2 linked regions of the Schizosaccharomyces pombe genome follow. Changing the gene in region 1 together with any one later gene gives a genetic interaction. Each region holds a gene or a part of one and is shown on either strand. Other genes may lie near its edges. The genes, in order: byr3 and ras1.

Region 1 (3,728 bases):
ATCCCTACAATCATTCCAATTTTTCTTGATCCAAGTTATCAAAGTTATGCAGCAAAGACAATTCATTCTGATACTTCTTCGTTAGCCTCCTCGATCATCCAAACAGGAGATGGAACACAGTCATGCGATGAGTCTACATATATAGAGCTAGCATGCAATCTTGTAGGCCGTTGTGTGCTTTGCAATAGAATACCGAAGTTAACTAAGTTTAAAGATTGCATTACCTCATTTTACCGGCCTTCTGTTGCTACCAATATATGTGATCAATGCTTAGAAGCAATCATTGACTTTTATGAACCTGTAAGTAGATACAAATTTGATGTTATGAAAGATCGTTTAGGGGTGGGATATATAAGCAGGCCTGGTCAAAAATTCCCCTCTTGGTTATCGGAGCATGTTCAATTGGCTAGGGATGAAGAGAAAGCGTTCAAGAGTATTTACCATTCTCAAGGTGAATTTGCAAGAAGTTTATTTCGTTTGTTTCGAGCGCAGTTGGCTGAGTTATGTGAACAATAAAATTTTGGATTAATATACTACGATTTTATGTAATAGACAAATTCGATGTCAAATTTGTATGAAAGTAAAATTGAAGTTAATAAATTTTTTTTTGTCTATGACAACTGTTACATTTATCGTTCACCCGTTTTCAATTACAGTTCATTTTTGAAAAGCAGAGTAAGCAATGCAAGGAAAAAATAATATTAATTAGGCAAATGACCCAGAACCCTTTTGTAAATATTGTTATACAGATACCATGAGAGATTAAGAAGTAGAGAAGTTGTTAATAAGTCAGAGCATTAACATTTACTGTACAAACACATAAGGTAAATTAAGTTACTCAAAAAATACGAAAACGCCAAAACCCATTTCGTAAATGAAATTGATAGTGAGTTGTCATATAAAACCAAAAGTTCCATTAAATAATGGCACTAAAAAAAACAAATCATCCAAATGGACCAAGGAATTTCTATCATTTATAGAATTCCCATATTCCAAATTTTTTTATTTCAAGCTCGTGAATTGAAAATAATAGGAAAAAAATGCCACTACAACAGTAAAAATAAACTGAAACAAAAAGGATTTAATCTATCAACATCCATCTTTTAGCGGTGACGAGAAAACAGGAGAGAAATGAGGTGGTGCATCTCAGGCTTCAGTACAAATATCCTTAAGGATCCGAAGCAAAAATGAATTCAGAAGTGTGCGAAAAAATAAGGACGAAGAGAAGGATGTAAAATTATGCTTTCTATATAACTAAATGCGCAGATCGCTCAAGGGATTTGTAAGAATATGACCACTTGCCAAATTTGAATAAATCGGACAAGAAAAAGAAAAAATATCTTCATACCACGACAAAGGGTTATAAATAGCAAGCACTTATGCCTCAATTACAGGAGAGGTGCAATTGACGGCGATGTGGCCTGGTTGATTACACTTGTAACAAAGTTGACCATCTGAAGCTTGTTGACATTCAAAGCTGCGGTGTCCAATCTTACCACAAGAGTAGCATTTCACGCCCATAGTGCAATCACGGGCTTGATGGCCATAAGAGCCACAAGCATAGCAATTCATGTTGGAGCGATGACCACCAAATCGTCCGCCACTTTGTTGACCATTTGTACGACAGTCTCTAGCAATGTGACCAACACGACCACACTTGTAACATTCCGCACCTTGACGGGGGTTAGGGCTGCTGGGGCAATCACGAACGAGATGTCCGGCGGTACCACAAGCATAGCAAGTTTTTTCCTGTTGAGGCTCAGTGCATTCGCTAGCCTTGTGACCGGTCTGATTGCAATTGTAGCAGATTGAACCCTTGGTGCACTCACGAGCTTGATGACCGTTTTCACCACAGTTATAGCATCGAGGACCGGGACGAGTGGTTTGAGGAACGGTGGGAACAGATTCAGACTCCATCTTAACAACTCCTTTACAATTAAAAAAAATTATTAAAGAAAATTAAGAAAAATAAAAAAAAACAGAAAAAATGTACTTTTTCTCGCTAACCTGACTACACTTCCTTAATAAATAGGAGCGTGTGACTGTCTAAATTTTTCTTAAGTAACAAGCACATGGTGGCACTTGGAAGTAACGAATTTGACAAGCGACTATTTTGGTCTTAAAGATGTCAATAAATAAGAATTTAGTTGTTTTAGACCGACGGAAGAAGCACAACAACTTGCCAATTAAAAAGAGTCATGGAATCGAAGAATTGTTACCGCATACTTGCTTTTTTTTGTGATAGAGAGTGTAATATCTTACATAACTAGTAAGCTCACTCTTTCCCATAAACTCAGGACTTTTTGGTTCTGACAATAGCTTTATATCATAGCAATTATTGCCTCCTCATTGTAATGTAGATTGGTATTCCAAGCGAATATAACCAAACGCTTAGTTACTTTGAATCGTGGTAAATAAGCATCGTTATTTTTCATGGCAAAAAATCGTAGAAACATTGCATTCACAGTATAGCGCCTGAAGAATTGAGTTCAGTCATTTGCAATATATATATTACTGGAATCTATAGTTGTACATATTTTAGGTATCCAGAGTACCACGTGCTTGAATTCAAACAAATCAAAATAAATCCAAAAATTGTTTTGGTAAAAAATAATGCTTTGGCCGGGAATCGAACCCGGGTCGAATCGATGGCAACGATTCATTATACCACTAAACCACCAAAGCTTGTTGAGGTTTCGATAAAAAAAGATTTAATTATATTACGCGACGATATATCAACATAATAATTTTAAATAGATAATTAGGATCTTGGAAATCTTTTTATATTTTTCCTAGACTTTATGAATATAACAAATACGAAATAGAAGGTGAATGGAATAGAAAAAAAGTAATCATTCGACTAAGGAGCAAAGAACTGCTGATTACTTCTTTATTTGAATTTAGCAACCAAGAATTTATTAATGCATGTCGGATTATTAATTTAATTCATGCAGTAAGTGTTTTGCCAAACTATTAATTGCTTATTTTTTTCTCTTTGGAATTCGTTTTGGTAAATAGAAAAGCAAGTAACTTAGTCGCATTTAAATTATTAAATTCAAATCAAATTTTGTACGTTAATTACTATTCCTATTTGTGGCTTAATAAATTTTGTATAATTCCTACATATTTTTTACAATTTATCATTATTATTGGGACACGTTTATTCAAACACTGTTTTTTAGATAATTCATTTCATACTCAAGCACAGATTTATATTAAAAGTTTAACATATACAGAAATGCATGATTATTCCAAATTATTCTAAAAAAAAATATTTTTTTTTTGAAATTTATTCATTTTACAAAATGTTTTTGCTTGACATACTTCATCGATTTCCAATACTTATGCAACCTTTGAACCGTCATTTCACTAACCTACGTGAATAAACTATTAACAAAAATTAGATTAACATTTTAATTTCCAACCCATTCACAGATGTATAGTATCATTTAACAGAAAACCACTTCAATCGATATCAAATTATCACTATTGTCATACTAAGAAACCGTCAATTTTTTTTTTGAAAACAAGTACATTTGACCGCTTTTCGCCCTTGGGAATGACTAGTTCATCGCTTCATTTTATAATTAAACGCAGTAAATTAATAATCGAGACATAAAACACAGAAATTCTTCTACCAGTTAGATTAAAAAAAAAAATCTGTAAAATCATTTTCCGAACGAAAATAGTTTAAACTATGTAATTAAGGTAAAATAGAAATATTCCAA
Region 2 (3,949 bases), 230 kb from region 1:
AACACTTTGATTCAAAGGAAAAAAATGCTATATTTGCTTTAGGCGAAAAACCACAGCTCATGTATTATGAGTCAGATAAATTGGTAATTACACCACTTTCTTGTACGGAAATGTTGAATATATCTTCTTATGTGAACCCTTCCTTAGGAGTAAATATGCTTTATTGCACTAATAGTTATATATCTCTTGCTAAAATGAGTGAAATTCGAAGCTTAAATGTTCAAACTGTTTCTGTCAAAGGGTTTCCGCGGAGAATTTGTTCAAATTCGTTGTTTTACTTTGTCTTATGTATGCAACTAGAAGAGTCGATTGGTACACAGGAGCAACGTTTATTGTCTTTCTTGAGAGTTTACGAAAAAAACACTTTAAGTGAGATTGCTCATCATAAGTTTAATGAATATGAAATGGTTGAAAGTATCATTTTAATGAATGATGATAAACGTGTGGTTGTGGGCACAGGTTTCAACTTTCCAGATCAAGATGCCCCAGATTCAGGCCGTTTAATGGTCTTTGAGATGACTTCCGATAATAATATCGAAATGCAAGCTGAACATAAGGTCCAGGGATCTGTGAACACTTTAGTTCTGTATAAACATTTGATAGTCGCCGGCATTAATGCCAGTGTCTGTATTTTCGAATATGAACACGGTACTATGCACGTAAGGAATTCTATTAGGACACCTACTTATACGATCGACATTTCCGTTAATCAGGACGAAATCATCGCAGCAGATTTAATGAAGTCTATTACCGTTCTACAATTTATTGATGATCAACTAATAGAAGTTGCCAGAGACTATCATCCATTGTGGGCAACATCCGTTGAAATTTTGTCAGAAAGAAAGTACTTTGTAACTGAAGCAGATGGCAACGCAGTGATTCTTTTGAGAGACAATGTCTCTCCTCAATTGTCCGATAGAAAAAAGTTACGTTGGTACAAAAAGTTCTATCTTGGTGAATTGATAAATAAAACTAGGCACTGCACATTTATAGAACCACAGGATAAATCCCTTGTCACACCACAGTTGTTATGCGCAACAGTTGACGGCAGCCTCATGATTGTGGGTGATGCCGGAATGTCTAATACTCCTTTGTTACTACAGCTGCAGGATAACATTAGAAAAGTTATACCTTCGTTTGGAGGCTTGAGTCATAAGGAATGGAAAGAGTATCGAGGTGAAAATGAGACCAGTCCATCTGATTTAATTGATGGCTCTTTGATTGAGAGCATCCTTGGTTTACGTGAACCTATATTGAATGAAATTGTAAATGGTGGTCATGAGGGTACAAAGCTTGATATTTCTGTTCAAGATCTAAAAAGTATTATTGAAAATCTTGAGAAACTACATCCTTAACGTTTTCTATCAATTCTGTTTTTGCCGCTAGAATGTAATTTTAAGACTATATGCAATTATCAATGTCTCATTGTATATTTATAGCAAACGAAAATGTTTTTGAATGAAAATCTCCACTATCGTATCTCTTTCCACGGTCGATAAAACGCATGAAAGGAGTTTAACATATACAAAATAATATATGGTGCCGACCTCTTCATGCATGTATTGCGAACACTTGAGCAAAATTTTTAGAAGCTTTTTAATTTTAATAAAGAAATATTTAATGTTCAGTATAGAAAGTTCAAAAGCAATACTTAAATTTGCTGCTAATTTGGTTAAGTTGGGCTGAATAGGGAATTCTTCAAACAATACTTCGTATGCTTTTAAAGGTAGACAAAGCACTAATGCAATATATCTGTCAAATACAAATGGCAGAATTTTTGGTATTTTAATAGAAGATCAAATGTTTATTGATGGATTTAACATAATTAGCTGTTAACATTAATATTTCGTTTTTATTGCACCAGATACCTTTAAAAAATTATAACTTCTGAATTTCTTTATTACTAGCTTGTCGGTTTGCCATCAGTAATTGTTGACTGCATTACTTGAAAACTGCCAAACACATTTTAACGAGCTTAAGACCAACCAATATTTTTTAATTACCAAGCCTACACACTTTTTGTATTTTGTTTTAAAAGCAACCTAAAGAAATATACGATTAAACTTAGTGTGCTTTATAAAATAGTGAATATGAGGGTAAGTCTAAGCAATGACTTGGGGTTATCTTTTATTGATTACAACAAACTAATCAACGATAATATTTATAGTCTACCTACTTAAGAGAGTACAAATTGGTAGTTGTAGGAGATGGTGGTGTTGGTAAAAGTGCTTTGACAATTCAATTAATTCAATCGCATTTTGTTGACGAATACGATCCTACAATCGAAGATTCATATCGGAAAAAGTGTGAAATTGATGGTGAAGGTGCGCTTTTAGATGTATTGGACACGGCCGGTCAAGAGGAATATTCCGCTATGCGTGAACAATATATGAGAACCGGAGAGGGTTTTTTATTAGTTTATAATATTACCTCTCGGTCCTCTTTTGACGAAATTTCTACATTTTATCAACAAATCCTTAGAGTTAAGGATAAGGATACATTTCCAGTCGTTTTAGTGGCTAATAAATGCGACCTTGAAGCTGAACGTGTAGTTTCAAGAGCTGAAGGCGAACAACTTGCAAAAAGCATGCATTGTTTATATGTTGAAACTTCGGCGAAGCTAAGGTTAAATGTAGAAGAAGCTTTTTATAGTTTGGTTCGCACGATCCGTCGCTATAACAAATCAGAAGAAAAAGGTTTTCAGAATAAGCAGGCCGTCCAGACTGCCCAAGTTCCAGCTTCAACTGCTAAAAGAGCTAGCGCTGTAAATAACAGTAAAACCGAAGATGAGGTTTCAACTAAATGTTGTGTTATATGTTAGCAAGTATTATTGCAGAATATTTGAGCTGTTTGGTGAATGCACCGTTCCTGTCTTTTGTTTCATCTCTTTCTTTTCATTTCAATAATTGTTTTTTCATTTAACACAATTATTAGCAGCTATCTTTAAGTACTTCATTTTCCCTTTGAACCATTTGCACATCTAGTTTTGGCTGCTAGTATGATAGCAAATTATTCAATTCAGAGTTGTGGACTTAGAAAAAACGTGTTATTTGACTTTGGGTTGCTATTTCTTGTTCCGTTTTAATAAAATACATCTCTTTCATTGCATGGTCACGATGTAACAATCTGCAACTAATGAATATATCATACACCTATAATCCCGTAGATCTTTTTTTATAAATTTTTAAAAAAGGGATAATTTTTTTCATAGAAAACTATGTCTGCAGTCTCAATCTATCCCTAAAAGCGCTTTGCTGTGATTGTAAACAAAAAAGCTAGTGCTTACCATTGGGATAACCTTAATGTAACCTATGGTAAGTCCAACGAAAAAACCTCTCATACCGGCTTCTTTGTAAGTAGTTTGTACTACCTGCTTAAGTCTAAGAAATGATTTATTTTTTCTGATACCACCAATTTGCATTTTTCGTCGACAAACTTCGAATGGGTAAGAAACCGTTTGACCACAAACTCCTGCAAATGCTCCACAAAGTAGTTCGGGCCAAGTTTTAAGTTTTTTATCTGACTTTTTTGTAGAAACCCATTCGTCAATTTTTTGTTTATGAAAAAAATCAGTTGCAAGATCGTAGGCAAGAAACGACATACCAGCATATGGAAAGATTCCAGTTAACGTAACAGAAAATCCACGATAAAAATTACAGATTTTTGACAAACGGGATAACCCAGGATACTTCTTATTGCACAAAAAATCACGTTCGTGAAATATATCTTTTGTAACTTGAGTTAGGGTAGGATTCTTCCCTGTATTGGTTATGTAGGCTAAACGAACACGAATCAGCTCTAACGGGTATGTAAAAAAAACAGAGCAAGTTCCGGCAAGTGATCCTGATAAAAATCGCCGAGCATGTGTTTCATGTTCAGGGTCACGAATTAAAACACGCCGTACTTGTTCGTATGCAACAAATTTAATGCCCGCATAAGGGAAGACTCT

What was found.
Region 2: of byr3 (region 1) and ras1, a mutation in one rescues a mutant of the other (synthetic rescue), as found in Schizosaccharomyces pombe (2 studies listed by BioGRID, with this or other methods).

Annotation. Positions count from the first base shown.
Region 1 is NC_003424.3:2,246,566-2,250,293, forward strand, and holds byr3 (translational activator, zf-CCHC type zinc finger protein), read right to left. Parts: upstream 1,999-3,728; 5' UTR 1,918-1,998; coding exon 1,378-1,917; 3' UTR 664-1,377; downstream 1-663. Other genes in the region: F-box protein Pof14, read left to right, coding at 1-516. UniProt on the Schizosaccharomyces pombe protein: Acts in the sexual differentiation pathway. Is required for efficient conjugation. Double-stranded DNA-binding protein.
Region 2 is NC_003424.3:2,018,630-2,022,578, reverse strand, and holds ras1 (GTPase Ras1), read left to right. Parts: upstream 1-1,947; 5' UTR 1,948-2,090; coding exon 2,091-2,096; exon of another isoform or gene 2,097-2,167; coding exon 2,168-2,821; 3' UTR 2,822-3,117; downstream 3,118-3,949. Other genes in the region: protein Ddb1, read left to right, coding at 1-1,355; leu5 (coenzyme A transporter), read right to left, coding at 3,230-3,949. UniProt on the Schizosaccharomyces pombe protein: Participates in the process of sexual differentiation and the determination of cell shape. Essential for mating and for recognition of the mating pheromone, but not for vegetative growth. Does not regulate the intracellular cAMP level.